Linked DNA regions of Oryctolagus cuniculus. Each later gene encodes a partner of the first gene's protein in a complex. Links are inferred from orthologs where the notes say so. Each region holds a gene or a part of one and is shown in the gene's direction. Other genes may lie near its edges.

Evidence for each region.
Region 2: BUD13 (region 1) and CWC15 share a complex: the UniProt entries of both Homo sapiens proteins name them as parts of the minor spliceosome. The link is inferred for Oryctolagus cuniculus from reciprocal best matches to the Homo sapiens genes BUD13 and CWC15.
Region 3: BUD13 (region 1) and CRIPT share a complex: the UniProt entries of both Homo sapiens proteins name them as parts of the minor spliceosome. The link is inferred for Oryctolagus cuniculus from reciprocal best matches to the Homo sapiens genes BUD13 and CRIPT.
Region 4: BUD13 (region 1) and SNIP1 share a complex: the UniProt entries of both Homo sapiens proteins name them as parts of the minor spliceosome. The link is inferred for Oryctolagus cuniculus from reciprocal best matches to the Homo sapiens genes BUD13 and SNIP1.
Region 5: BUD13 (region 1) and ARMC7 share a complex: the UniProt entries of both Homo sapiens proteins name them as parts of the minor spliceosome. The link is inferred for Oryctolagus cuniculus from reciprocal best matches to the Homo sapiens genes BUD13 and ARMC7.
Region 6: BUD13 (region 1) and GPKOW share a complex: the UniProt entries of both Homo sapiens proteins name them as parts of the minor spliceosome. The link is inferred for Oryctolagus cuniculus from reciprocal best matches to the Homo sapiens genes BUD13 and GPKOW.
Region 7: BUD13 (region 1) and SNRPD3 share a complex: the UniProt entries of both Homo sapiens proteins name them as parts of the minor spliceosome. The link is inferred for Oryctolagus cuniculus from reciprocal best matches to the Homo sapiens genes BUD13 and SNRPD3.

The regions. Positions count from the first base shown.
Region 1 is NC_091432.1:108,946,649-108,950,656, reverse strand, and holds the start of BUD13 (BUD13 homolog), read left to right. Parts: upstream 1-1,208; 5' UTR 1,209-1,239; intron 1,240-4,008. UniProt on the Homo sapiens protein: Involved in pre-mRNA splicing as component of the activated spliceosome. As a component of the minor spliceosome, involved in the splicing of U12-type introns in pre-mRNAs.
Region 2 is NC_091432.1:86,202,907-86,206,958, reverse strand, and holds the start of CWC15 (spliceosome-associated protein CWC15 homolog), read left to right. Parts: upstream 1-1,252; 5' UTR 1,253-1,393; intron 1,394-2,426; 5' UTR 2,427-2,434; coding exon 2,435-2,565; intron 2,566-3,429; coding exon 3,430-3,542; intron 3,543-3,930; coding exon 3,931-4,019; intron 4,020-4,052. UniProt on the Homo sapiens protein: Involved in pre-mRNA splicing as component of the spliceosome. Component of the PRP19-CDC5L complex that forms an integral part of the spliceosome and is required for activating pre-mRNA splicing.
Region 3 is NC_091433.1:156,146,859-156,151,032, reverse strand, and holds the start of CRIPT (cysteine-rich PDZ-binding protein), read left to right. Parts: upstream 1-1,374; 5' UTR 1,375-1,511; coding exon 1,512-1,527; intron 1,528-3,215; coding exon 3,216-3,281; intron 3,282-3,934; coding exon 3,935-3,989; intron 3,990-4,174. Other genes in the region: PIGF (phosphatidylinositol-glycan biosynthesis class F protein), read right to left, coding at 306-321. UniProt on the Homo sapiens protein: As a component of the minor spliceosome, involved in the splicing of U12-type introns in pre-mRNAs. Involved in the cytoskeletal anchoring of DLG4 in excitatory synapses.
Region 4 is NC_091438.1:135,212,807-135,217,099, forward strand, and holds the start of SNIP1 (smad nuclear-interacting protein 1), read left to right. Parts: upstream 1-1,493; 5' UTR 1,494-1,584; coding exon 1,585-1,808; intron 1,809-2,867; coding exon 2,868-2,970; intron 2,971-4,293. Other genes in the region: DNALI1 (axonemal dynein light intermediate polypeptide 1), read right to left, coding at 133-278, 665-778. UniProt on the Homo sapiens protein: Required for pre-mRNA splicing as component of the spliceosome. As a component of the minor spliceosome, involved in the splicing of U12-type introns in pre-mRNAs. Down-regulates NF-kappa-B signaling by competing with RELA for CREBBP/EP300 binding.
Region 5 is NC_091448.1:5,404,931-5,409,106, reverse strand, and holds the start of ARMC7 (armadillo repeat-containing protein 7), read left to right. Parts: upstream 1-1,376; 5' UTR 1,377-1,572; coding exon 1,573-1,663; intron 1,664-2,149; coding exon 2,150-2,293; intron 2,294-3,657; coding exon of another isoform or gene 3,658-3,686; exon of another isoform or gene 3,687-4,176. UniProt on the Homo sapiens protein: As a component of the minor spliceosome, involved in the splicing of U12-type introns in pre-mRNAs.
Region 6 is NC_091453.1:34,252,582-34,256,872, reverse strand, and holds the start of GPKOW (G-patch domain and KOW motifs-containing protein), read left to right. Parts: upstream 1-1,491; 5' UTR 1,492-1,525; coding exon 1,526-1,701; intron 1,702-2,474; coding exon 2,475-2,629; intron 2,630-2,734; coding exon 2,735-2,859; intron 2,860-4,291. UniProt on the Homo sapiens protein: RNA-binding protein involved in pre-mRNA splicing. As a component of the minor spliceosome, involved in the splicing of U12-type introns in pre-mRNAs.
Region 7 is NC_091452.1:31,112,355-31,116,558, reverse strand, and holds the start of SNRPD3 (small nuclear ribonucleoprotein Sm D3), read left to right. Parts: upstream 1-1,404; 5' UTR 1,405-1,518; intron 1,519-3,256; 5' UTR 3,257-3,274; coding exon 3,275-3,400; intron 3,401-4,204. Other genes in the region: protein GUCD1, read right to left, coding at 1,079-1,289. UniProt on the Homo sapiens protein: Plays a role in pre-mRNA splicing as a core component of the spliceosomal U1, U2, U4 and U5 small nuclear ribonucleoproteins (snRNPs), the building blocks of the spliceosome.

The DNA.
Region 1 (4,008 bases):
AGAGAGAGAACTTCCAGCTGCTGGGTCCCTCCCTATATGGCCACAATGGCTAGGGCTGGGCAGGCTGAAGGCCGGAGCCAGCAGCTTCTTCCAGGTCACCCATATGAGTGCAGGTGCCCAAACACCTGGGCCATCTTTCACTGCCTTCCCAGGCACATTTGCCAGGAGCTGGACCAGAAGTCGAGCAGTGGGTAGCAAGGGCATAAGCACTCCTGGGCTGCCTTTCCTAGACAAGCAGCAGGGAGCTGGATCGGAAGTGGAGCAGCTGGGTCTCAAACAAATCCCCATATGGGGTGCCAGCATTAAAGGTGGCTTTACCCTCTATGCCCCAACACTGGGCCTGTTTTGCTTTTCTAAAGCTGAGAATAATTATAGCTTTTGTATTCATGATTAAACTACCCAGGTTAAATAAAATTTCAGTTATCTTTGCTGTTAACTGAAGTTGTATCCTTTCTCTGTTGGATCTGAGTTTGAGCAACTTCGATCTACAATAAGTCCTTTTTTTTTTTTTTAGACTTTTTAAACTTTTTATTATTTATTTCAAATAGTTACAGAGAGAACGGTAGAGACAGAGAGAGAGTTCTTCTATTCGCTGGTGCAAGGGCCAGAGCTGCACCGATCCAAAGCCAGGAGCTTCTTCCGGGTCTCCCACATTTGTACATGGGGCCCAAGGACTTGGGCCATCTTCTACTGCTTTCCCAGGCCATAGCAGAGAGCTGGATTGGAAGAGGAGCAGCCGGGACTAGAACTGGTGCCCATATGGGATGCTCGTGCTTCAGGCCAGGACTTTAACCCGCTGTATCATGATGCGGGCCCCTACAATAAATCTTTAATTTATCCTTTTTTGTTTTTCAAGTAAATTTTGTTTATTCATAAACATAACTTAGTTCACAAAGGTTTTTTTTTTTTTTTTTTTTTTTGGACAGACAGAGTGGATAGTGAGAGAGAGAGAGAGAGAGAGAGAGAGAAAGGTCTTCCTTTTGCCGTTGGTTCACCCTCCAATGGCCGCCACGGCTGGTGCACTGCAACCGGCATACCGCGCTGATCTGAAGGCAGGAGCCAGGTGCTTATCCTGATCTCCCATGGGATGCAGGGCCCAAGCACTTGGGCCATCCTCCACTGCCTTCCCGGGCCATAGCAGAGAGTTGGCTTGGAAGAGGGGCAACCGGGAAAGAATCCGGCGCCCCGACTGGGACTAGAACCCGGTGTGCTGGTGCTGCTACTTGGAGGATTAGCCTAGTGAGCCGTGGCGCCGGCCGTTCACAAAGTTTTTAAAAATTTTGTCTGCAGACTTTTAACATAAAGGCCTAAGAGTGACAAGCAGGTGTCGGGGGAATATATTAAAAACAAAAGTATCTTTGGTGATTAAAAAAAACTTGGAAACCTATTATTCTAATTATTTTACAGGGTTTTTCTAGTTGCAAAATATTACAAGTCAATGAAAAAGAGAATATTTGTAGCTTTGTTTCACTAAGTGTTGAATAGGGTCATCTGGGCAAAGACCACAAAGATTGTGAGCAGGGACAGAAAACCTTTGGCTGACTAGAGGAGTGAGAGAAGGGAAGACTGCCAGTGTTAGCAAGGATTGATCAGAAGTGTCTGTTCATATGTGGGGAGAAAAATGGGAAAGAGGCAATTCTTGACAGAGTGATATAAGCAAAGATATGAAAACATGATAGTGCAAGTCATTTTTTAGAGACAGTAAATGCATCAGTTTAGTATTAAAAGATGATGAGAAAGTAGTTTGAGGCTAATGTATGAAGGCCTTTAAAGATAAAACTGGGTGCTGGTGTTGTGGCCTATGGGTTAAGCTACTGCCTGCAGCGCCAGAATCCCATATGAGTGCTGGTTTGAGTATTGGCTGCTCCACTTCCAATCCAGCTGCCTGCTAATGCACCTGGGAAAGCAGTGGAGGATGGCCCAAGTGTCTGGGCCCCTGCACCCATGTGGGAGATCTGGAAGAAGCTCCTGGCTCCTGGCTTCAGATCCGCCCAGCTCTGGCCATTGCGGCCATTTAGGGAGTGAACCATCGGATGGAAGACACTTTCTCTTTGTGTGTGTTTGTGTGTGTCTAACCCTACCTTTCAAATAAATAAAATCTTTAAAAAAACATAAAAACTTAACGCCTTGGGAAAAGTTAACAGCTGCAAGTGTGATGGTGCCATGAAGATTCCAGTTCTGTGAAATGACTATTGACTTGCTTGAGGATGTCCTGTATTTTCAAGTATAAAGAGTGATGTCTGGTGCTTGAAGGTATTAACTTTTTTTAAGGTATTTAAGCGATAATCAGAGAGAGATTGTAGTGATAGACAACCAAGCGGGAACCTCATTTTATTAAAGTTTTTAAACAATACCTTACAAAATTTTGTGTGTGAATGAATTCTCAGTAAATCCCAAACAGCTTCTCTCAGTGCTAAAAACTGGCTGATAAGTGCCGTTGAATTCTTTGTAAACCTAACAAAACTTAACAGAATTTCTCATTCTGGGAAAGAAATGATTTTCTCTATGTAATTTCTTTAGAAAACTGCTTGAGAATAGTTCATTATTATGTGTAACAGTGGTCAGAAATATTTCTCTCCATGGTACAAAACAATGACTCAACCAAAACCTAGGAATGTAATCAAAATGCACCCATACTATTAGGTACAAGTTCAGACAGTCCCTGTTTGCCCTCCTTTTTATTACTCCTTCTTACCCCATTGTGGTTTAGCCTGACTAATCTATTTGCAACACATCAACATTCTGCAGAAGTTTTGTAGTTTCTATTTGAAGGGAACAAACTGGAGGGCTGTGGAAATTTCAGATTTCATCTCAGATAGTATTTGTTAGTAGTGTGTGTGTGTGTTTGTGTATTCTTAAACAACAATCCTTTTTTAAAAAGTTAGTGTCACTTGAGAGGGAGGAGAGACAGCCAGAGAGAGGGAGGGAGAGTGAGAAAGGGTGCTCCCACCTGCTAGTTCACTCCCCAAATGTCCCCATCAGCCAGGACTAGGGTGGTTTGAAGTTGGGAGCTGGGAAGTCAGTCCAGTTCTCCCACATGAATGACAGGGATCCAATCACTTGAGTCATCACCAGGAAGTACATTATTAGGAAGCTGTAGTCAGGAGCCAGGGCCAGGAGCACCTGGGAGGTTTTATTTATTTATTTATTTATTTGAGTGGCAAAGTTATAGACAGAGAGAGGGAGAGACAGAGAGGTCAGTCTTCCATCCACTGGTTCACTCCCGAAATGGCTGCAACAGCTGGAGCTGGGCCAATCTGAAGGCAAGAGCCAGGGGCTTCTTCTGGGTCTCCCATGCAGGTGTTGGGACCAAGAACTCTGGATATCTTCCACTGCCTTCCCTGGCCACCAACAGAGAGGAGCAGCTGGGACACAAACCAGTGCTGCAAGTGGAAGCTTAATCCACTAAGCCACAGCGACAGCCCCCCTGTAATGTCATTTAAATGAAGCGAGGAATGAAGGCTTCCTCTAGAGGAACAGCCTTTAAATGCAGAAAAGGGAGCAGACGTTTAGCCCAGTTAAAATGCCGGTTAAAGACATCTCTGCCTGATATCTGAGTACCTGGGTTTAGCACCTGGCTTTGGCTTCTGGCTCCAGCTTTCTGCTAATGTAGACCTGTGTGGCAATGATCATAGCTCCAGTAATTGGGTCCTTGCTATATGTGGGAGACCCAGATTGAGTCCCGAGTTCCTGGCTTTGGCATGGCCCAATCCTGGCCATTTTGGGCAGTTGGGGAGTGAACGCCACTGGATAAAAGCTCGCTCTCTCGTTCTCTCTCTGCCTCTCAAGTTTAAAAAAAATCAAAGAAGAAATTAAAGAGGACAGTGGCCTTGGGGACAGGGAATGGAGTGTGCTTGGCATATAATTTAATATGTCAGCAGAGAAGAGTTCCACAGTAAGCTGGAACAGCCCTGCTGATGTAATGGGTATAGTCTGAGGGAACGGAAAAAAGATCGTTTAGCAGAAGGAAAAAAAAAAAAGATTGTAGTATCCTTAGAAGGCCTTGAA
Region 2 (4,052 bases), about 23 Mb from region 1:
GTCTTTAATCTAAGTGCAGGGGGTTTTATGCAAGTGAGGAATGCTAGCTATGATTAATCACTATCCAGGTGGAAGATGATGGTGGTTTTGATGAGATCATGATTGTGGAATGGAATTTAGGGTAAATTTTGACAAGACTTGCGAAGGAACAGGATGTGAATAGTGAAGCAAAAGCAACTGTTAAGTAGGTGCCCTGGGGTTTTTGGTTTGAGTAACTAGTGTGATGGCTGCATCCTTTACTGATGTGCAGGACTTGGGGAGGAATATATTTGAAAGAAAAAGCAAACACACACAAAATTTTCCAACTTGAACCTTACAGAGGAAGGCGCTTTTTCTACATTGGTTTCACTTAAAAGTTTCAAAGAAAGAATTTTCAGGAAAAATCCTTCAATGTTCAATTTTGACACTAAATTGGGAAAACTTAAATTTTCACTGGTTTAACAAATACTGCGCAGGATACTACCATGTGTGACACTCTACCAGGAAGGACTAAACAAACAAGATCCCTGCTCTCAGAGTGCTTGTTTCTCAGGGGAGAAAGAAAAACGACTGGTGATTTACTTTTTGCCTTTTCCTGGTCTTACTACAACCTCCCCTAATGCATCAGTAGCCATCTTAATAATTCCACCCCGTGCCACTGGCGGTTGGGCCCACCGTTCTAAACGTTCAAGGTCGTAAACGCTAATGCTGACATCTCCCCTCTCACAGAACTTAAGGGCATTTTAAAGGGAAAAAAAAAAAAAAAACTTAGCAAACAATACGAATACAACCTTTGCTGTGAAGTCTAATATTTTTGCAGGAATGGTACCTTTATAAAGATCGTGGTTGCCCCCGCACATATTTGTTCTTTCTTCATATCCAATTAAATGAAAACACTAGTGTTTCCGCAGCCTAGTTTTCTAGGCTTGTTGGCTCTAGCTCAGGAGAAAGGATGGAAACAGAATCGTTGGATTTAAACTGTTTGGTGAAATCCCTTTGCACGCTCTCTCCCGCTAGCCATGGATGTGGTGTCGGCTACACCGGGTTTTCCATCCACGCAGTGCCGGAATGAAGGAGTCTGGGAGGGGGGGTTGGGGAAGGGAAAGACGGAAGAGACATTAAGTAACTGGCTCTCGAAAGCGTAAGATGATGTTCAAGGTCTGCTCTAAAGCACTGATTTCAAATGCCCGCCCCCTGGGCCGTTTCAGCCCCGCCCCTTGATGTCGTCACACCGACTTCCACTTTGGCCTCTGAGGATTGGTCGTTGCCGCCACCTCTTTGGGGCGGTTAAAAATGCTCGGGTTTTGCTTCCGGGTCTTGGGCTTTGGCCCTGGGCGCAGAGGTTTCTGGGAGCTATCAAGCACAATGGCGTCTGTATGATTTTCCGTGAGTGTAGTATCGGACGTCTTCCTAGGTGAGCGGCACGGGGAGAGCAGTTTGTGTTTCTTATCCGGGTGGCGTGGGAGACGGCAGTCGGGGTCAGAGTTGGCGTTGGCCGAGTGCCGAGCGCCGGCGGGAAAGACCGGGAGCCGCGGACGGGCGGTGGAGCCCGGTGCCGGCCGGGCGCGCCCGCAGCCCCCGGCCTCCAGCGCGGAACGAAGCTCTGCCCTCTGTGGCTTTAAGCCGGGGCTTGAAGCAGGCCAGCCAGGCGAAAGGCGGGCTCCCGGGCGGCCGGAGTGATCAACCTGAAGCTTTTGGGAAGCGGCGGCGCCCCCGACCCTAGAAAACCTGCTTCTCTCTCTCCTTACGCAGGCTTTCACGGCCTTTTGGAAACCGAGGGAAGCATACAAAATAATCCTGCCGTCTTCTGCACCCTCCCCAGACACTTGCTTTTCTGACGTTAACGGGCTTTTGGGCTCTTAGTAGCCCCATCAGCTGGGCAGTATTCTTTCCGTTATCAGATTCCTTTGAGGATTAGGTTTCTGTCATTGGAGCATTTCTTAAATTGTAGCCTGACGTGTATGTTGTGAGGACTGTCCCAGGAGAAAATCGAATCCACAAGATTGTTGGAGAATGTTTCCCACTGATTTTCAGCACACTTACCTCTGGGACACTTAAGAGTTTGTCAGTGATTTTTAAATTTTCTTTCTTTTTGTCTTTTCCTTAAGGACATTTAAACTAAGGTTTAAACTGAGAACTTTTAGGGCTTTGACATGTGGGATCTCATAATTCTTTGAGGAATAGCCCCATTCTATAAATGAAAGATTGGTCACTTGTCCAAGGCCACACAGAAGGGGAACAGGAGCAGAAACTCAGGTCTTCACCACAGAATTTTTGGTGTGAGATAAAAGCTGCCCTTGCACCTCATAATTGGTTTCCTTCAGAACTTTGGTTTGGGAGGGTTATTGAAGCAAGTTTTGAGATTATTTCACAAGGATGGATATTTGTTTAGTACCTTACACAGTGAAAGTATGTCGCATTAGAAACAACTTTGTTTTCCCCCATAGCGTCAAAGATGACGACAGCAGCCAGACCAACTTTTGAACCTGCAAGAGGTGGAAGAGGAAAAGGGGAAGGTGATCTGAGCCAACTCTCAAAGCAGTATTCCAGCCGAGACTTACCTTCCCATACAAAGATAAAATATAGGTATAAAGACTCGCAGCTTTTTCTTGCTCATGAAATAGGCCTAATCTGTTGAAAAGCATGGCCATGATGTGTAGTAGGGGTAGGTTTGAATTGTATCACTTCAGTTACCATTTTCAGAGGAATAGAATACAATAGAAAGTTTAACATCAAAATTACACTCTGTGATTTTAAAGTTCTATCCCCTTCCTGCAGCCCAAATTCTTATTATCCAGGAGTTTCCATATGGAGATGGAATGGTAGCTAGTGGATTATCTCAGAGAAACTATGCACTTACCAGCATTAGTCAACATGACATTGAAAGCGTTACTGTAACAGGCCCTGAATTTCTAATAATACAACAATTAAATACCTGCTTTTAGGGAAAAAATTATTTATTTTATTTGAAGAGCGGAGTGAAAGAGATCCCCCATCTGCTGGTTCACTCCCCAAACGCCTGCAACTGTCAGGGCTGGGCCATACTTAAGCCAGGAACCAAGAACTCAATCTGTGTCTCCCATGTGGTAGATGACAGGGACCTGAGTACTTGAACCATCACCTTCTGCCTTCCAGAGTTCACATTACTGGGAAGCTGGAATGGAGAATAAAGATGAGTCTCAAACCCAGACACTCCTTTATGGAGTGTCCCAAACAACACCATAACCACTGAGCCAAGTGCATAGTTCAAAAAATTAAGGACATTATAATAAATCTGTAGCTGTATTATGGGAAAGTATGCAGTTCAACCTTCAGATTGTGTCATAATTCTGACAACTTTCCTCTTAGGCTTAAAGGACAAAGTTGCTGTGATGAATTATATTTCATTGCTACAGCCATGTATTTTTTTCTTTCTAGTAACCTTTTGACCCTGATTGGTTTATAATTTAGGCAAACTACTCAGGATGCCCCTGAAGAGGTTCGTAACCGGGACTTCAGGAGAGAGCTGGAAGAGAGAGAGAGAGCTGCTGCCAGAGAGAAAAATAGGGATCGTCCAACCCGGGGTACTAACGCTATCCCAAACGTTTGTCTCATAAAATTATGTTCTCCATATTTTTTTATGTGTTAATTAGAAACTGTTAATATTTCTGTTTGTTTGCTTTTAAGTATTAGTGTGAATTACAGTGCTTTCTTAACTAGCCTAGAAGTGATGATCAGGTTTAGGTTCCCAACATGTATAAACTATTCCCTGAATTTCCTGAGGCCGCAGTTCCTGTATAAAATCAGTGCTTTCATTAAGTCATTCGATAAATATTTATCCAAATGCTTATCTGCTAGCCACTGTATGAGCCCTGCTGCTGGGATGCTTTTAGTGTGATTGTTTTGTGCCCATGAGTCCCTGAATCGTAAGAAACGTGTGTCAGTAACTAGGTGATGTTTGCCTACCCCCAGAACATACAACTTCCTCTTCAGTATCCAAGAAGCCTCGGTTAGACCAGATTCCTGCTGCCAACCTTGACGCAGATGATCCTTTAACAGACGTATGTTTCATTTCCTACTTTCACCTCTTATCT
Region 3 (4,174 bases), on another chromosome or scaffold:
TCTGCCTCTGTTGGAAATGCAACCTATGCTTTCTAGAAACCTCACGAATACACTTTGGCTAAAATGTTGGTGTCCCTCCTCATCTAACATCGCGTTTCACATCTAGTAAATGCCAAGGACACACTGGAATATTCAAGTGGCAGCCTAGGCAACCAAAGAACTCAAAGAGCATTACCCTAAACTAAGGGATCCCTAGACTCTAGCATTTCCAAAATGACTAGGTCTGTTACAGGTGCTAGATTCCAATCAAGAATAAAACATGAATGGAGGCAGAAAAAATTTTACTGTCTCATGTATTTAGTTACCTGAGAGCTTATGCATTGTATTGGCAGTGTGGAGTACAGACTTTATTAAATAGTCAACGTGTTACACTGTGAATATTCCACCAAACAGAAACAGCCCTAAAAAATACATAAAAGCATATGTGGGTGGGGAGAGGATGGAGCTCACTGGCGAATAGCTCTTATTTGATTCCCGCGGTCATTTATCAAAGGCAAGTAGTTTACTGATTAAACAAGAAAAACAAGTCAGGAGACTTGTTCCAAGCTCCCCAGCGCTACAGACATAAAGGGACACACGAGGGATCCGGTAGAGAACGGGCGACAAGCAGGGACAAAGTTTCTCAGACTCTCAGCTGCCTGCGGGTCGGGTAGGGGGAACAGAAATCCATTCTCTCAACAGATCCCCCTTACTTTCTCTGGGCCACCCTCGGAATCCCAGCAGCAGAAGCCACACTCCAGCGCCTGCTCAAAGAACGAAGGAACCCGGGCAGGTGAAGCGCCTGCCCTTCTCGGCGGGCCCACGAGGACACCTGCCGGGCGCGCCTTCGCGGGGCCACCGCCACGGCGCCGGCGATCTCGGCCCGCCCACGCCGGCCAGCAGGGCGCCGGCGAGCCCTCCCGGGGCAGCCGCCGCCCGGGTCGCGGACTTCATCCGCAGCCCCACCCCACACCGGGTCACTGGGGCTCGGCCCGTCAGCCGGCGAAAGCTGAGGGACGCGGGCAGGAACGCGCCTGAGAAAGAGGAGCGGTCCAGCAGGGGAGCCCCTGGGTCACGCGGAAGGAGGCCCTCCGAGGGCCGGCGGGGGCGCGCAAGCTCGCGACCACTCGGGCAGTTGGCGGAGGCGCCTTCCACACCTCCCAGAGGAGAACGCAGCCAACGGGGCTTACCTAACTCTCCCGCCCGCGAAGGGAAAGGGAACTACTGCCTCCCACCATCAAGGCACAACGGGCTGCCCCAGCCCACGCGCAGGCGCAAGCGCGCGGGGCGGAGACCCACGGTCGCACAGCCAATCGCAGAAGGGGATGGGCGGACAAACGAGGCAGCCCCGCCTACCCGCTGGCGTTCATGCCTCCCGCGGCTTTCCAGGCGTAGGATTGGCGGGAGCGGAGGATTAGGGGCCGGAAGTAGATTGACGTAGCCCGGAAGGAAAATTCTTCCCAGGCTGTAGTGTTGATGTTTTCAAGCTGCGGCTGATTCTGGGGCGAGGAGGGCGAATCGTCGGCGGAAAGATGGTGTGCGAAAAATGTGAGTTAAGGGGCCGCTTGTGTGGGGAGAGGAGGCTGGGAGAACTTACTCGGACTCTCCTGGGAACTTGGTTTTTCCTTTTCCCACAGGTCTCTAAGTCTAGCCTGTGTTCTCCCACCCTTGCCCTGTGACCCTTCCTGCCCCTCATCGACTGTGTAATCCCGTATATTTTGTCATCAGAATGGCCTTAGTTCTGCACCTTTTTGCCCATTGCCGTCGCCGCCTTCTGGCTCTCGCCTCATCAGTTACGGCTTCTCGACCGCCTCCGTCAGGCTTAAAATGGACCTTAAAAGTCATTTCTGTAGCGTGTGGAGTTGCGAGATCTAGCAATTCCAGACCTCCAATTGAATTTTAATTTAAGATAAACAACGAATACTTTTTTTTAGTGCTGTAAGTATGCCCCATTCGGTTATTTAGGACGTGCCTTACTAAATTGGCTTCGTTGCTTATTCTGAATGCATCCCATCCTATGAAAGAAACAGTATCTGGGTGGGGGAGGCTGGAGACCCCCACGACCTACGAAGAAGTCTCTGCAAGGAGGCATTGCTGGCTTGAGGAAAGTATTTTCCTCTGTGGTTGCCACCCAGTGTTTTTAATTCAAACTCTTAAGATTTGTAGAAAATACACCCTGTGGACCTACCAAGCTGTTTATGTGTTTAAAAGCAGCTGTCAAGTTCCCAAATCCTCTCCCTCTGGCTCTTCTGTGACAAGAGTTCCACTCCTCTTAATCCTGATTATGGTCTAATGAACATGACCTGTGGGCATCCCCGTGGTAGATGGATACAGTCTGGACACACAGACCCATGGCAAAGCTGCGTGGTGTTCCCAGATTTCCCATCTGAAAATGAGAACGCAACATAAGCCTTGGGTTTTTTTGAGAATTACATGAAATGACATAGGTAATGCCTGGTACAAAGGTCCCTAGTGTGTCCTCTGTCATAACTCACTACTGCGTGACACAGAATTAAACTCTGCTCCATATGTGGGCCAGAGTGCAACTAATGCCTCCCTCCTTCTGGATACTACACCACATACCATTGTTGCCTTACATTAAGCTTTAAGAAAATAACCATTAAGACGTAATTCACATGCCATGCAATTCATGCACTTTAAGTGTACAATTCACTGGTTTTCAGTATATTCAGAGTTGTGCAGTGTGATCATAGGCTGACCTGTCCATCCCTTCAGAAAGTGCATGATCTTACTTGACACTGACTGTCTGTAACTCTGCTTCATCTTGTACTTGCAGTGGTTTTTGGACTTGTGTGTGTATTTGAGTAAGTTTGAATTAAATATCTTTATATTATGTGCTGGCCCAAATGTCTCATCTCTTAGGTGTGGTTCTTAAATCTCTAACTTTGGCCTCCCATGTAATTTGTGTTAGTCTGTCACTTGGGATGCTTGTATCCCAGATTAGAGTGTCTGGGTTTTGCATCCTTGGATGTGAGTCCCAGTTCCACTCCCAACCAGTGAATGGGAAACCACCTGCCTCCCCAACCTGCATTTCAAACAAATAAAATAAAATTTTTTTAAAAAAAATCTTGAATCTCAGTTCACTAGCCTCTACCCCAGCATTAACAGGCTCCCACTGTAATATGACTGTTGATGGCATTGGGAGCCTTGGCACCATGTGGTGTATTTATTAACTAGCAAGTTATAATGCCCCTTTTACTATTTTATCACAACAGGTGAAAAGAAACTTGGCACTGTTATCACTCCGGATACATGGAAGGATGGTGCAAGAAATACCACAGGTATTTTTTTTCTTTTGGAAAACAGAAATTGAATTAAATACCACCTGTGAATAATATATTTTTACATTTATTTGTAAAGTGAGATGTTGTATTCTCAGAGTATCTTGTCTATAAAGAATATACGGGGTCCCCCAGTGATTTAATGCCTTCTCTCTAGTTCTCCCAGTTACATGCACAGGTTCCTAACATAGTAAGCAGGAGATAGCAAACCTACTAAATATTTTCAAGTGATGAGTGTGTCATAGTGTAGAGTCCGAATTTAATTTCTCCTCTCCTCACCTAGTTTTTATCTTCTTTATAAAAAAAAAATTACTTAAGCTGTTTTCACCAGGAAGGAAACGAAAGTTGAACTGGACTCAGAGTCTGTGACACCAAAGTAGTAACTTCTAGATTTTATAGTGGATGGAGTAAATGTAGACTCACCCCTAAAGTACTGCTTGCTGTCTGAGTAAGAAAACTGCATCTCACATAAACGTCATTGTTTCCCTAATATTTTCTAAGTAGCATCTCAAAAACTTAGCTATTTCACGAGAATTTAAAAATTTTGATATAGGCTATTCTAATGGTGGGAGGTCAAAGGATGAACTTCTAACTGAATTAGTAGGTGTGATGTTAAGTATGTAGAAATAACTTACTGAAATATTTTGATACAGAAAGTGGTGGAAGAAAGCTGAATGAAAATAAAGCTTTGACTTCAAAAAAAGCAAGGTGGGTAAGAGCCTCTGTGGAGCCGTCGTGTAAGTTCCCACTCCTGAGACTAAGCATGCGGGAGTGAATTTACTGTTCATCATTGCATTGTGCTCAAAGCATGAGAGGTCCTGGCAGAGGGAGCCAGGGATCTGGTGTAACCTGCTGGTTAGCACTGTTCCTTCTCACTGTGTCAGCCTCTGGAG
Region 4 (4,293 bases), on another chromosome or scaffold:
GGTCTCCTGCCACCCTCTGGACTCGGCTCCAGGCCAGCAAGGGAGGAAACCCTGGCCAGGCACGGGGGCCGAACGCCTCTCCCCACACTACCAAAGTCTGGTCTTCTCCCAGCCTCTGCGCCCACGCTTTACCTTGGGGGCAGAATGGCATTCAAAATTTCTTCTGCCTGCTTTGTAGGATCTGGGACACAGGAAGTTGAGGGGAGCTTGGTCTTGGTTATCTGTGGGATTGGACTGGAGGGTCCCGGCTGCTGGGGGCTGGCTTTCAGTGGCCGAGCCTGGGAAGAGACGATTCAGGCCTTCAGCCCCCTGGACGCCTCCGGGTCTTGCGCACCCCCTCCCCTACCCCCAGCCCGTGAAGAGTCCCTGGTCCCAACGCAATGCGCGGACCAGTGTTTCTGGAGGAAGCGGTCAGGCGTCTGCGCTCCCACCTGTAGCGGTGGGGACATCGCGACCTGACCTGTCCTTGAACCCGACTACCGGGAGAGGAATCCCTACCGTCTGTCTCCCCGCGACCAGGTCTAACCTGCGGCGCTCACACCCAGCGACATCTGGACCACCCGGACCACTCGCTCCCTCTCCGCCCGTCCCAGGGCCCGTCCCCGGACTCCGGACTCTCGCCGCGGGGATCTGCCTGGCCCGGTCCCCCGAGGCCCGTCCTCACTTTGGGGCTCCGTTTCTCCGTGTTCCGGCTCACCAACACCGGGGTGTCGTACTTGAGCAGAGAGTCGGCCGGGGGGATCATGGCGGCGATGGGGGCCTGGTTTGCGGTCACCATGGAAACCGCCCCCCCTCCCGGCCGGGGCGGGGCCTCGGGTGGGCGTGGCGCGGCGCGCGGACGCGTCCCGCGCAGCCCTGGCGCTCGGCCCCGGCACTCGGCGTCTTAATCTTGCTGCCAGCCGGGTCGCCCGGGAGACGGGGGTTCGAGTCCCTGCGCTGCGTATAGCGCGCAACTTGCGTGATTGGGTAGATCCCCCTTCGCTGAGCCCCAAGATTGTCACCTCAGTGAAGGGCTGGAGACCATTCCCCAAAAGAGGGTCTCTGGAATCCCCAGGGCTTTAAAAAGTATTCCTCAAGGTTAAATGGCGAACTGACATAGCAGGATTTGTCCACGGGCTACTATGATTGCATTTTTGTATTTCCAAGGCCAAATGGAATCACGGTTGGCGCGCAGTTTCGTCGCCTTCCTCTACCGTGTCGGTCCGGGCTTTTTCCACAAAGCGGTATATGGTTCGTGATAACGTTACTAATAGCTACGTAATGCCCAGTGATTGGCTAAGGAGCCCCCTACAGCTGTACACTGAGGTTGCCCACATGCTCTGTAGTTACGCGGTGAAGAATTAACTTGAGAGGTTCGCTTTTCCCCAGTAGTTTGCTTTCCAAACTTAAAACTCCCGCCCTTCGGGCCGGCTCCCTGCAGCCCCGCCCACGGGGGGGGCGCCGTCACATGTTCAGCGCTCCGCCGCGAGGGTTGCTGGGAGAGCTCACACCCCGGAAGCGGAAGTCCAGAGGTCAAGCTCGTCATTTCCTTCGGAGAGAGTGGCTCAACGGACCTCTTTTCTTTTGCCCGACCCGAGTCGCAGAATGAAAGAGGTGAAGAGCGAGCGGGAGCGGAGGAGCCGGCGGAGGCACCGGGAGGGGGACGTGGCGGCGGCGGCGGCGGCGGTGGTGGTGAAGCAGGAGCGCCTCAGCCCGGAAGCCGAGCCGCCCGCCCCCCGCCGGCCGGACCTCGGCGCTACTCCGTCCCCGCCGGCCGGCGAGCCGGGCCGCCCTGGCCACCGCGGGAGCAGAGCCCGGGGAGAGAGCCGGTAAGCAGAGAACAGCCGGGGTGGACCTTGGGTCGGACTCATTGAGAAAAGAGCACAGGGCCGGCATCAGAAGTGGGTTCTGAATGCCGAGCCCAGCAGCGGGAGGCGGTGGGAGTGGCCGGGTCGCGCTCGGGTAAAGGCGTGTGTGCTCCGGTGCTGGTTACTTGCGTGACAGCTGGGGTCGAGCTGATGCCTGTGGGTCAGGGCCTCGCCCCCTCTTTCGTGTGTCGCCAGCACTTCGCGGAGCGCGTGGCCCAGCGGCTAGCACTCATCGTCCGTTAAGTTGAAAGATTTTCCCCCCGTCTGCCCGCGCAGGGAGTGCGGGCGTTGTCTTCGCCCTTATCCACCCCACGCGAGTATAAGCGATCTGCTAGGTGCACTGTTTGTTCATCGTTCAGCGTACTTTTACTGAATGCCTATAGGGTACTAAAGAGTGCACTAGGGACCTGGGCCACACGGGTGAGGCTTTCGTGAAATTGGACGAGCTTGAGCCCCAGGAAGACTGCCAACATGCAAACAAAACAGTTTCCGATGGCAACAGGTCTCAGGGCTAGGTCGGCCCAGTAAGGTGATCGTGAGAGACTGGAAGGAAGCGGGGATAGAACTCTTTGAAAGAGGTGCCGTTTGAGCAGAGACCTGAGTGATCTGGCCGCCGAGGAAACGTGCAAGGAACGTGAGCTAGAAGTCGTGATCGTGGAGGAGGAGGAGGATGGTAGCGATGAGGTGGGCCGGGGAGGAGGTGCCTCCCGTGAATTGTGGTGATGAGAGTGACTTCTGCATGGTGGTGGGCGAACAGCCAAGGGACAGACCTGGACAGGAGAGTCTTCAAAGGGTAGGGGATGGAGAGCCGTGTTCCCTGAGTGAGGAGGATCCGAGGCTCCGAGGCAGCGGCGTAGGCGGGAGAGTAGGTGAGGAACGGGAAGCCCCCCGGCTCCTTTGGTGTGATCAGCAGTCTTTCACAAATGTGTTTGTGTTAGTAGGTAAGCCCCATACCAGAAGCTAGCTTATGTGGGGGAAGGGAAACTGAGATAAAATCCTGTGTGTACCATGCCCTGAAAGGTCTCCAGCCAAAAAGAAAAACAAGTCCTCGGGGAGAAGAAGCAAGTCTCCTCGGAGCAAGAGAAGTCGGAGTCCTCACCACTCGGCAGTCAAAGTGAAGCAGGTAAGTGGGCTGGGGTGTGTTGAGGTGGGGTCTTAGGCCAGCGCCTCTTCCTGCCACCGCAGCCAGGGAAACAGCCAGCCAGAAGCACACCCACAGAGACAGCACCTACACCTGCAGCGGGCTTTTCTGAAAACTGAGTGTGTGAGTTTGTTTTGGTTGTTGGTAAATTTCTGCTGGTTTTCTTAAGCTTTTTTATTTTGAGATAATTACTGATTTAGATCAGATTTAATAAAGACAGGTGTTTCTCCCAATGGAAGCATGGTACAGAAGTGTAGTCACAATATCACAATCAAAATATTGGCATAAGTTACAAAACGTTTTTCCTGCCACCTGGACATGGCATGTTGTCCTGTTATAGCACACCCACTTCTTTCCCACCTTCTCCCTTCCATAAGTCCTGGCAACTTTTAATCTGTTGGCTTAATTTTGTCATGTGTCAAGAATGTTACAGGCCGGCGTCACGGCTCACTTGGCTAATCCTCCGCCTGCGGCACTCGGTACACCGGGTTCTAGTCCCGGTCAGGGCCCCGGATTCTGTCCTGGTTGCCCCTCTTCCAGGCCAGCTCTCTGCTGTGGCCCGGGAGTGCAGTGGAGGATGGCCCAAGTGCTTGGGCCCTGCACCCGCATGGGAGACCAGGAGAAGCACCTGGTTCCTGCTTTCGGATCAGCGCGGTGTAGCGGCCATTAGAGGGTGAACCAACGGCAAAAGAAGACCTTTCTCTCTGTCTCTCTTACTGTCCACTCTGCCTGTCAAAAAAAAAAAAAAGTTACATAAGCGGCATCACACACCATGTAACCTTTGGGACTGGCTTTTTTCACTCAGCAAAGTTCTTTGGCATGTAGGTTGTTGCATTGATCAGTTCATTCCTTCTTCTTGAGTGGTATCTGTAGTATTAGTTTAGCCGTTTGTCCATTAAAGAACATCTAGGTTTCCAGTTTTTGACTCTTACACATAAAACTGCTGTATAAACATTTGTGAACAGGTTTTATGTGAACATAAGATTTCATTTCTTTGGGATAAATGCCCAGGAGTATAGTATATAGTATAGTATAGCATATATAGTATATATGCTATATATTATACTATAGTATAGTATAGTAGTTGCATGTTTAATTTTTAAAGAAATTGTTTATTTTCCATAGTGGCTGTGTTCGTTTGCTAGGACTGCCATAACGAAATACAGACTAGGTCGCTTAAATGTTAGAAACTTATTTTCTCGTTATTCTGAAGTCTAGAATTTGAAGAATAAGGTGTCAAATAAGGTGTCAGGTTTAGTTTCACCTGTGTGGGGGTAGGGAACTGCTTTTTGGCTTGCAGGTGGT
Region 5 (4,176 bases), on another chromosome or scaffold:
GGCAGAGAGGGGCAGCAAGTTCTGCACAAAACCAAGGATTGGGAGTTCTCCAAGCAGGCCCTGAGGCCTTAGGAAGGGATAAGACCAGACACTGGGGGAGGCTGGGTTGCCCATCGGGCACCAAAACCTGCGGGTGTTTTCCTGGGAAAGCAGTTCCTGGCCAGAGAAGGGAGGAGCTCACCTCCGTGTGCCCTCAAGCCCCAGGCTCCTGGTCCCCAGGCCTTCGCTGCTCTGTCCAGCAACAGGCGGGAAGTCCCCTGGCTAAGACACACTTTCCCAGGCCATCCAGGATCCCCACAGAGTCAAAGGACAAAGGGCAGCTATGGTACCCAAGCACCAAGGCCAAGGTCAGAATGGCGCTGTGGCACAACTGGTTAAATCCACGGCCTATAGTGTCGGCATCCCATGTGGGTGCCGGTTCGTGTCCCAGCTCCTCCACTTCCAACCCAGCTCCCTGCTAATGTGCCTGGGAAAGCAGAGGAAGATGGCCCAAGTCCCTAGGCCCCTGCACCCACACGGGAGACCCAGAAGAAACTCCTGGCTCCTGGCTTCGGATCGGCACAGCTCCGGCCGTTGCGGCCATCTGGGGAGTGAACCAGCAGATGGAAGACCTCTCTCTCTCTCTGTCTCTACCTCTCTCTCTAACTCTGTCTTTCAAATAAATAAAATAAACCTTTAAAGAAGAAGAAGGTGTGCATAGGGCAGGGCTGCAGCCTGCGTCCACCGCAGCTGTACTTGGCCCAGGGATGCAGCCACATTCCTTGGCCCCAGGAGCTCACAGCTCCAAGCACCATGGGGATGTGGCAAGGCCTCCTTTCCTGGTGCTGTTCTCTCCTGAGAAGCTCCGAGGAGTCAGACCAAAGGGCTTCAGGATCCCGGGCCCAACAACGCAGAAAGCTGCAGCGGTCCACAGGGGCGAGCTGAGGCTCCTTCCAGGGCCCTCCGGTGCTGCCCGGGACAACCCAGCTGTCAGAGGCTTAGGGCAGGACCCCAGTCCTCGGGACTTCGGGTCAGAGGTGGAGGGCCCCAATGGGGTCAGAGCGGAGTCGGCCGGACTTGAAATCCTGAAGGGTCGCAGGGAGCCGACGCTGAGGCTCCAGGGGGACGTCTAGGGGAGAAGGCTGGGCTGCGACCGCCAGCGGGTGTGGGGAGTGTGCGTCTGCCTCGACAGCCCCCTATGTGGGCACCCCCAGATTCTGCGGCACTCCTGGGTCGCCCCGGCTCCTCGCCGCATACCCGACCGCGCACCTGTCTGCCGCGCGCGTCCCCGCGGGCCCGGAGCTCATTGCGCACGCGAGCCGAAGAGCTCCGTGACGGCCCCGCCCCTTCTCGCCTCGCCCCGCCCCGTCTCTCCCCGCCCCGCCCCTTCCGCCCTCCGGGGGCGGGACTAGCGCGGCTTCCGGCCGGGACTCTGACAGGATCCTGAGGGTCCCGCCTCCCACTTGCCGTTTCGAGCTGCGGATTCTCGCAGGACCTGAGCCCCCCGGCCGCTGCGGTGAGGGTCTCACGCGGCTGTCCAGGCTGCCTTCTGCCCTTGTCCCACCGGGCCCAGGAGCGCTCGGCCGCCCCGCCATGGCCCAGAAGCCCAAGGTGGACCCCCACGTCGGGCGGCTGGGATACCTGCAGGCGCTCGTCACGGAATTCCAGGAGACCGCGAGCAAAGGTGAGAGCCGCGGGTGGGCGCCGCCGCGAGCCGAGGGGAGAGCCGAGGGGAGGGCGCGGGTGGGCGCCGCGAGCCGAGGGGAGAGCCGCGGGTGGGCGCCGAGGGGAGAGCCGCGGGTGGGCGCCGCCGCGAGCCGAGGGGAGAGCCGAGGGGAGGCCGCGGGTGGGCGCCGCCGCGAGCCGAGGGGAGAGCTGAGGGGAGGGCCGCGAGCCGAGGGGAGGGCCGCGGGTGGGCGCCGAGGGGAGAGCCGAGGGGAGGCCGCGGGTGGGCGCCGAGAGCCGAGGGGAGGGCCGCGGGTGGGCGCCGAGAGCCGAGGGGAGGCCGCGGGTGGGCCGGCGCGAGCCGAGGGGAGGGTCGCGGGTGGGCGCCGGCGCGGGGGCCGAGGGGAGGGCCGCGGGTGGGCGCCGCGAGCCGAGGGGAGGCCGCGGGTGGGCCGGCGCGGGGCCGCCGCCCGGGACCGGCTCCAGGGTCGCTTTCCCGTTGCAGACGCCAAGGAGCAGGTCCTCGCCAACCTGGCCAACTTCGCCTATGACCCCAGCAACTTCCAGTACCTGCGGCAGCTTCAGGTCCCGGATTTGTTCCTGGACTCGCTGTCGGAGGAGAACGAGACCCTGGTGGAGTTCGCTATGGGTAAGGGGGGCCGGACCCGACACCTGCGGGGCTGCCGCGCGATGGGAGGGTTGCAAGGGAGTCGTCGGCAAAGCGGCCTTTAGGGGCCCCCCTTGTCGCCCCACAGGCCATCAGGTCACAGCTAATGTGCGGGAGTGCGGGGGTCCCACCCAGGCCCCACCCTCTGCCTAGAGATGGGATCGCAGACAGGGAATGGGAGGGAGCAGCTTGGAGGTGGATCTTTAATGCGACGATAATGTAGACTTTAAAGTCTTTGTCGTTTACTGAAAGGCAGAGAGAGAGAGATTGAGAGATTGCACCCACTGGTTCGCTCTGCAAATGGCCACAACTTCTCCCAGGTCTAGGCCAGGCCAGGCCAGGGCCAGGATCCGGGACCTTCATCCCTCAGGTCCCCACAGGGGCAACAAGGGCCCAGCACTGCCTTCCCGGCTGGATCAGAAGCAGAGCAGCTGGGACTTGAGGCAGGACTCCCGCCAGTTGGCCCACTGCGCCCTCATCCCTGTCCTCGTGCAGAAATGTTTGAAGTCCATACATAGGTTTTTTTGTGAGACTTTTTCATGAACTTGTAATTAATTAATTAATTTGAGAGGCAGAGAGACAGACAGAGCTTCCATCTGCTGTTTTACTCCTCAAATGACAGAAATAGTCAGGGCTGGTCCAGGCCAAAGCTGGGGGCCAGGAATTCTATCCAGGTCCCCCCCCATGAGTGTCACGGATCCGACTACTTGAACCCCTCATACAGTGCCTGCCCAGTGAATACAAGGATATTTCAGCAAGTTAATGGGAAGTGGAGTTAAAATATAAGGGTGTTTTTGGTGCAATTAAAAAAATTAAATTTTTTTCATAATGCACATATTCTATGAATTTTTAAAAATATTTCCCCCCACTCTACTGTACTCTTCTCTTCCTTCCTTCTTTCCTTTTTTTCTTTTCTTTTTTTTTAAGATTTATTTTATTTATTTGAAAGAGTTAGAGAGGTCTTCCATCCGCTGGCTCACTCCCCAAATGACCGCAGCAGCCAGAGCTGAGCTGATCCAAAGCCAGGAGTTTCTTCCAGGTCTCCCACATGGGTGCAGGGGCCCAAGGACCTGGGCCATCTTCTATTGCTTTCCCAGGCCACAGCAAGGAGTTGGATCAGAAGTGAAGCAGCCAGGACTTGAACTGGCGCCCATATGGGGTGCTGGAGCTGCAGGCCAGGGCTTTAACCTGCTGCACCACAGCGCCAGCCCCTTTTTTAAAAAAAAAAAAAATTTACTTATTTGGGGGACCAGTGCTGTGGCACAGTGGGTTAAAGCCCTGGCCTGAAGCGCCAGCATCCCATATGGGTGTTGATTCTAGTCCTGGCTGTTCCACTTCCAATCCAGCTCTCTGCTATGGCCTGGGAAAGCAGTAGAAAACGGCCCCCCTGCACCCACGTGGGAAACCCAGAAGAAGCTCCTGGCTTCAGATCGGTGCAGCTCCAGCCATTGCGGCCATCTGGGGAGTGAACCAGCAGACGGAAGACCTCTCTCTCTGTCTCTACCTCTCTGTGTAACTCTGTCTTTCAAATAAATAAAATAAATCTTAAAAAATAAGTTTATTTATTTGAGGCCAGCACTGTGGTGTAGTATGCTAAGTCTCTGCCTGCAGCGTCAGCATCTCTTACGGGCACCGGTTTGAGTCCTGGCTGCTCCTCTTCTGACCCAGCTCCCTGCTAATGCTCCTGGAAAGAAAGCAGCAGAGGAGCGCCCAAGTGCTTGGGCCCCTGCACCCATGTGGGAGACCCAGAAGAAGTTCCTGGCTCCTGGCTCCTGATTGGCCCAATTCCAGCTATTGCGGCCATTTGGGGAGTGAACCAGCAGATGGAAGATATCGCTCTCTCTCTCTCTCTCTCTCTGTAACTC
Region 6 (4,291 bases), on another chromosome or scaffold:
TGAGTGCTTATGCCCCTGCCACCAACATGGGAGGCCCAGATGGAGTTCCAGCCTCCTGGCTTCAGCCTGGCCCAACCCCAGCCATTGAGACCATCTGGGGAGTCAATCAGCAGATGGAAGAGCTCTCTCTGATTCTCCCTGTCTCACTGTAAAAAAAAAAATTTAAAAAATAAATAAATCCTTTTAAAAACAAATAAATACATCATTAAAAAAATCCTTTCAGGACTAAACTCCTGAGTGAAGAGAGATAAATATTCAAACTATAGCACCATGTGATCCATGCTCACTTCATTTGTAATAAGACATATCAACATCACAAATCCCCTAGTATGATATAGTTAGAAGGGCACATCATTTCTGCATCATTTTTTGCCAAACATTCATAACCTCAGTCCAACAATGAGAAATCATCAGACAAACCTATCTGAGGAAGGTTCTACAAAAAAATGAACTGTACTTTGCAAGAGTTAGAAGTCAAGAAAGACTGAGAAGCTGCCACAAGACTGAAGAAGAGAAAGGAGGCATTGCAATTATATTGCAATATGTGATCTTAGGTTTAATTCTGAATTCTGGAACAGAAAATTGTCTACAGCTAATAGTATTGCATCATTCTGATTTTGATAATTATACTATTGTTATATAAAAAGCTTAAGAGTATCTGGATAAAAGATATAAAAGAACACTACTTGGGGCTGGCACTGTGGTGCAGTGGGTTAACGCCCTGGCCTGAAGTGCCGGCATCCCATATGAGCACCGGTTCGAGACCTGGCTGCTCCACTTCCTGTGTAGCTCTCTGGTATGGCCCGGGAAAGCAGTAGAAGATGGCCCAAGTCCTTGGGTCCCTGCACCCACGTGGGAGACTGGGAAGAGGCTCCTGGCTCCTGGCTTCGGATCGGCACAGCTCTGGCCATTGTGGCCATCTGGGGAGTGAACAATTGGATGGAAGACCTCTCTCTCTCTCTCTCTCTCTCTCTCTCTCTGCCTCTCCTCTCTCTGTGTAACTCTGACTTTCAAATAAATAAATCTTTTTTTAAAAAAAAAGAACAGTATTACTTCGCGACATGTAAGTCTAAAAGTATTGCTGAATAAAGATTTTTTAAAAATTTATTGCTCTGTTTTGAAAGTTACTGTAGCTGTTCCTTTGGGAGTTCAGGGCCCATCCCAAGATGCCCAGGGTTTCTAAACTGGAAACATAGCCATGAGATTGTTAGAATAATGGAATACCTGTTTTCAAGACCATTCTCTAAAACAAGAAGAAACGAACTCCTGGGAAGAAGGAATCTACCTTCTACCGCTACCGCCTCTTGGCGGAACTACAGTTCCCGGTATACTTGGCGCAGGCGCATTCCTGTGAAATTCAGACGCGCTACAATAACTTCCTACGGCTAGTTGTTTGGTTTCGTCGGCCGACGCCGCAATGCTTTTTGGGAAATGTAGTTCTTGCGCTTGTCTGACTGCCGCTAGCGAATTGAACCCAAACTAAACTTCCCAGCAAGCAGCGCACCAGCCTGGGAACTGGGGCAAGATGGCAGACGCCGAAGATGGTGTTTTGCAGCCGACTGCACCTTCTACTGCCCCAATTTCATTCGCCTTTACTCGTACGTCCTCTCGGAGGCGGCTGGTGGCCCTAAGTGATGGCGCAGAGTCCGCCCCAGAGGAGAAGGATTTCTTGAAGACCGTGGAAGGGAGGCAGCTACAAAGGTGAAGCGCCGGGTCTTTCGCCCCTTGTAAATCGGTGCCGTGGGTGCGAGCGGGAGGACTCGAGTAGTTTGCTTTGATGACAGTGGCCTGGAAAGCCTGAACCACGGCCTCAGGAAATCCGTGGAGGAGAGAAGGCAGGAGCTTGTGGGAGAAGTAGGGAAGTTGCTTTTCATGGCCGTGTGGACTGAGAAGATGTATAAGGATACTTCAGAAAGTTCGTGGGAAATGCGCATTATTTCAGTATTCATTTCCATGGACTTTTTGAAATGCCCTCACATTCATGACAGGGAATACCTTTATGATGCTGGGACACTCTGGTGTGTGCGTTCAGATAAGTGGGAAAGAGGGAATAATTACAGGACCCTGTTGTCTCAGCTAAAGTGAATGGGGGCGACTCTAATACGGGGAACGAGATGGAGCTGCAGATTCAGGTTGAGGGAGGCCGCATCAGCATCTTTAGGAAAGAAGAGGCTGAAGTGCCTGAGGGAGGGACTCGCAGAAGAGAAGCAACCGCCTAGGAGGCTGTTCTGGAGCTGGGAAGAGTCTGGCTGCAAATGGTCATCTGTAGTTCTTGGGATGAACAGACGGCCTGGCAATGATTCCTGGAAGATACTGTCATTTAAGGGCTGGAGGGACAATGACGTGCAATCAGAGGCATGGTCCATGGAGCTAGGAGGGGGCTTGGCTCTTGTGTTTCTCTGCATAGGGGGGGTGTAGCTGGAACCCACGGACCCTGCTTCTCTCCTCACCTTACCTTTCTTTGTCCACATCAGTGTGAAGCCCTCAGAGGTCCCCAAGGAACCTGTCATTCCCTTGATTCAGAATGGCTATCACAGGCAGCCCCTGGTCCAGCCCTCTGGGCTATCCACAGACACCAAGACCTTGATGGATGAGGTGCTGTCCCAGGCTGTGAAGGAACTGATTGAGGGTAAGTGGGCCCCCTCTCCCCACCCTGCTCCAGTGAAGAAAGACAAGGAAGAAGGTGGAAGATACATGGGGTGGGACCTCATTGCTCCCTCCCATTCTTCCTTAGAAACCGAGAAGTCCCTGGAAGAAAGAAAGAATGCAAATGCCGACTCCATGCTCACTATCCCCATGATCCAGAAAGGATACACCTCCAACAAGGAAGGGGTAGACAGCGAACACTCAGCTGAAACTGTGAGTTGGCCCCTTACCCCCTTGCTCCCTTGGTTTCTCCTTGCCCTGTCTGCCATGCATGCCTTCTTACACACAGCAAAGAAAGTCTGTGTGTACACTGGAGGCCTACTGCCTAGCTCTTCCTCCTTCCAGCCTTTTTGGGAACATTAACACATGAATCCAGATATTGGAATATGAAGTTGGATCCTAGGATTGTCTGAATGGGGTGAGAGGCAGAGGGAAGAGGAAATATAATAGCCATGAGGGTGGACACTGCCTGGAGTGTTTGACAAACACCAAGGAGACCAACGCGGCTGGACTGGAATTAGTAAGAGAAGTCAGGTGGCAGTGGAGGGGGTGCGGCGAGACCAGGCAGGGCTTTGTGGGTCATGATGAGAACTTTGGCTTTTACCCTGAATGAAATGATAGCCATGGGTGGGCCCTAGGCAGAGAAAGGATGCGACTTATGATTCAACAGAATCTACTGTGAACACAACAGACTAGTAAGTGAAGGTAGAAGCAGGGAGCCCAGCAGTCTAGACCAGAGATGGTAAGGACTCAGATCCAAGTGGCGTGAGAGAAGGCGAGGTAGGGTTTAGCGAGAGAGGCAAGAGCAGGGTGAGTATTCCTAATGGTAGCAGCTGCCCGAGCAGGCCATGGCAGGAAGGCTGTGTGGTGTGTCTGTTAGTGAGACAACTTGTGTGTCTGGAATGAGTGAATGAAAGGATTGAAGGAGTAACGACGGGAAGCGACCACAGGAAAGGGTAGCGGCAGGGCCATGGAAGTAAGCAAGTCTGTCCATATCTTGGACTCGACTTCTCACCTGTTCATTCATAAGTATTTTGCACTGCTTCCTCAGGGCCTACTTCTCCTATGGCCACAGAGCATCGACCATCCTGGCTTTAACTGGGGTGATTAGAAGTGAACTCATCCACCTTCATTTGTGCTCTGGTGTCTTTCATTAAAAAACAAACAAAGACCCTCCATTTACTCTTCATCCTGTTCCAGCTCTGGCCTTGTTTCTCATTTTCCCTCTGACAAGCCCCCTCCAGCAGCCTTCCACCTGTCAATTGATCACACTTCCATAGTCCTTCCTCTCCCTCAGCTCCAAACCTTGCCGTCATCTTTGCCCCTCCCTCTCTCTGTCATACCCCCACGTATGATCTGTCAACGCCGTCTTTGCCTTTTTTCTAAATGCATCCAGAATTTCACTTCTCATCACCACCAGCACCGCACATCTGGACGACTGCAGTGACTTTCTCGCTGGCCCCTCATGTGACCTCCACCTGCCTGCAGGTTGTCTGCCTCCTGCACCCAGCTCTCCTGATTGACCCCTTACCCATGCTCCTCTGCCCCCATGTCCCTGTTCCAGTCATGTTGATTTTCATAATACTCTTCACACACACCGAGTTTTGTTTGGCCTCAGAGCCTTTGCTCTTACTGTCCTCTCTGC
Region 7 (4,204 bases), on another chromosome or scaffold:
ACTAGCTACGTCCTGCAAGCTAAGGGAAGGGCCCACCCAGGTCCCTGCCCACCCAGGTTCAGTTCCCCCAAGAGAGCGGACTCTCCCAAGGCGGCTACAGGAGGACTTTTGCGTAGTTGGCACCCTCTCCACCCGGGGCCCTCCCACGTGACCGCCAGCACAGCTGACTGGGGTCCCTGCCCTGTTAGTATCAGGAAACCCCAGCTGACCAGAGGCTGGGGGAAGGGAGAAGAGCCCGAGGCAAGGGTGTCCACCTGGCCATGATTTCGCTACAGCTCCACAGCCTGGGCAGAGACGGCCAGGGACGCGCGCGGATGGACCCTGCTCCGCGCTAGGGCGGGGTCCCCCTCATTCCCCGGGGCTGAGGGCTGGGCCCTCAGAGAGAGGCACTGACCCGGCTCGAGCGGCGGCCCCGCTGCCTCCGCCTCCGTCCTCATGACCCGCGCAGCACGGGGCGCCCATGGCCCCGGCCCGCTGCGGGCTGCAGCTTCGGCTTCAGCTGGCGCAGGAGCGCAGCCAATGCGTGTCGAACGCCGTAGCCGCCGCCGCCACCGCCACAGCGGGGAGAAGCGGAGGCGGCGGCCGGGCAGCCCCAAGCCCCGCCCCAGCCACTCCAGGTCTTGGATCCGGAGGCCCCGCCCCTCCCCTAATCCCCGCCCCTTCCCAGTCCCAGACTTCGATTCCTAGAGGCTTCCAGCCTCATGATTTAAGCCCGGCCTGGCCATTCACAGTCTCGGTTTCTGGTAGCTCCGCCCCCTTACCGAATCCTCGCGCAGACGCGCGGGCCCTTCCTTCGCTCGGTCCCCCGGAAGCTCCGCCCCTTCTGAGCCCCTCCCCGAGGGCTCGGCGCAGCGCAAACACTGGCTCCCCAGGGGCTCTTTCCCTCAGCAAGCCCCGCCTCTGCCAGGCCCCACCCCTTTGCCGGCTTCAGCTGTAAGCCGGCTCCGGCCCTGTGATTGCCTAGGGTCCAGGCAACCGTACTCTGATCTCTTTAGTGCTGAGCCGGCCCCTGCTCCACTTGGTACCTCAGTTTCTCTGTCCAGACACGACACCTCCCCTCTCTGAGAGTTCCCGTTACCTGGCAGTGCCGGGTTCCAAAGATTAAATTGTGAGGGGAGGTCCCAGCCCTCATTCCCACTTCCTGCTGCCCCGGATCCGAGGACCCAGGCTGTAGATCCCCTCCTTGTCGTCCAGCCAGTCTTTTGTGAGGGGTGCTTGGAAGCGCAAGCCCCCCTCTCCCGTTTCGGGCCCCCGCGTCGGGGCTTCCGGCGGCCCCCGGGCCCTGTCATCAGCCCTCTCTTCCGGCGCCGGAACTATCGTACCTGGGTCCGCGTTTCCCAGCCGGCGGAGTAAGGAGGAAGCGGAGACGAGCTCGCGCTCTGGGACGGTCCCCGCGCGCGGCATTCTGGGAGCGCGTGGTATTCTGGGAGTGCAAGGCCCGCCATTCGCCCCGCTCACGCCTTCTCTCTCGCAGTTGTTGTCGCAGCACCGAAGAGGAGGAAGAAGGGGCTCGAGCCGGTGAGTAGGGGCCGGGGACGGGAAAGGGGAGGCCTAGGCGCTCGTGAGGGATCGGGGGCTGGGGCAGGACGCGCTGCAAGGAACCGCGCAGGGCTCCGGGAGGGAAGGAAGCGGGAAGCCGGGACACCCAGACACCCGCGTCGCCTCGCCTGAGCCTGGGGAGTGAGTTCGTTACCTCCCCCTCGTTTCTGGCTGCTTAGCCTCGTCCCTGAACTCCATCGGCGTCATCCTTGGCCTCCAGCCCCCTTTTCCGGCGCTGATGCAGCCCCTCGTGCTTTCCACGCCATTGCAAAAGCGTTTTCCGAAGTTCCTCTGCTTCTGAACTGTGTGTTCGATTTGGCCTGTAAACGCTGATACCTTTCCATTGGGTCGTTCCTTCCTTGAGATCCCGCGCTGGTTCCGTGCTCTCTGAAACGTAACATTCCAGCTCTGGCGGCGGAGGGCTGGGGATCCTCACGGAGCGAGCCTGGCTGCCCTGTCGTGTTCTCCCTTATTTCGTGCCAGCCTTGCGTCCTTACCTGGCTCAATAAAAACTCCACTGCTTGTCTCTCAACTACGTCGGCAGATCCTTGTGTTTTTCCTCCAAGATAAGCAGTTTCCTACACGTTGTCCCTTTGTGACCGCTTTGCTGTTTTCTCTTTAGCTTTAACAGTAAAGCGAATGGAAAGTCAGAGGCTGAAATAAAAACACAGCCTCCTCTCCTGGATATGTCTGGGTCCTCTGGTTGGTTGGTTTGTTTGTAAGATTCATTTATCTGAAAGGCAGAGTTACACAGTCGGGGTCGGGGGCAGGCAGAGAGAGAGATCTTCCATCCCCTGGTTCACTCCCTCAAATGACTGCAACGGCTGGAGCTGGGGGCCAGGCCAGAGTCAGGATCTTCTCCCCGGTCTCCCACAGGTTCAGGGGCCCAAGCATTTGGCCCATCCTCTCCTGCTTTCCCAGGCTATCAGCAGAGATCTGGAGTGGCAGTAGACAGCCGGGACTTGAACCAGTGCCCCTGTGGGATGCCGGTGTACCCGCTGCACCCCATCGTGGTTTTCAGGATGCAGTCACCCACAGCTGTGGATAGGCAGATGTGTTGCTCAGCATGGACGTTCCGAGCGCCTCTCTCCCAACACACAGACCACATTGGTCACTGGTTATCTTGGCCAAGGAAAAGGGACATGAGGGGCCAGTGTTGTGGGGCAGCTGGTTAAGCTGCCACCTGTGACGCTGGCACCCACGTGAGAGTGCCAGGCTGATTCTCAGCTGCTCCATTTCCTATCCAACTCCCTGCCAGTGCTCCTGGGAGGCAGCAGATAATGGCCTGAGGTTTGAGCCCCTTGCCACCCACATAGGGAGACCCAGATGCAGTTCCAGGCTTTGCAGCCATTTGGGGAGTGGCCCAGCGGATGGAAGATCTCTCTCTCTCTCTCTCTGTATCTGTATCTGTGTCCCTTACTCTGTCTCTAGGTAAAGGGACATGGGAGCAGGTGAGGAGTAGGGAGGTAGGTGGGAGATTCTTTTCCTTTCCGTGAGCTTTCCTTCTGTCCAGCACGCTGTCTCTCCCCTCTTCATATTGTGTGTATTTGCCAGGAAGGCTCCTCCAAGCCAGGAGCTGAGCTGCTCTTGTGTAGAAAATGCAGCTTTGGCACCGGTGTTAGGTTTTATGGGGTCCAGGCCTTGGGGAGACATGGTGCGCACCACACGCGGCCTCTGGCTCTGAAGGCTGGGCTCACTGCTGTGTCTCCCACCACAGCACTCTCCTCCTGCCGAGATGTCCATCGGTGTGCCGATCAAAGTCCTGCACGAGGCCGAGGGCCACATCGTGACCTGCGAGACCAACACCGGCGAGGTGTATCGGGGCAAGCTCATCGAGGCAGAAGACAACATGAACTGCCAGGTACGGGAGGCTGGCGGCGTCTCCATTGTGCCCGACGTGTGGCAGGCGCTGCCGCGGGCTCCGGGACTGTGGGCCTGAGCAAGAGACAGTACTGGGGCAAAGAACCGTATGGAGATTTGGAATAGTTAACTTTGGCCTTTGCCTTCTCCATCCCATAATTGTCCCCTCCCAACTCCCCATTTTAAAGATTTATTATTTATTTGAAAGGCAGAGAAAGAGAGGGAGAGATCTTCCATCTACTGGTTCACTCCCCCAAATGGCCACAGTGGTTGGATCTGGGCTGATCTGAAACTGGGAGCCGGGAGCTTCTCCCAGGACTCCCACGTACAGGGACCCAAGCACTTGGGCCATCTTCTACTGCTTTCCCAGGTGCATTAGCAGGCTCAGAAGTGAAGTAGCTGGGACTTGAACCGGTGCCCGTATGGGATTCCAGTGTTGCAGGCAGTGGCTTCCCCTGCTACACCACAGTGCCAGCCTCTCCCATGTTTTGGGGCCTGTTTGAGAGAAATGGTGTTACCACCTTCAGCAGAATTCTTCAGGTTCAGGGCCATTACCCTCCCACCCCCACCACCCCACACAGTGAGCAGAAACCTGTGTGCTCTTTTTCTTAGAAGAGGGGTCATGTTTGATTACTGCAGCTGCCTAGTGAGGTAAATGAGTTTGGTGATAGTCTCGGCATCCAGGAAAGAGGGAGAATGTGGTTAAAGGACTCATCTACTGAATATTGCTCTGCTAATAAATGATAGAGCAACTTTCTAACGTGGTGTCTTTCTCAAAGCACTGCTTTTTACATAGTCAGGTAAA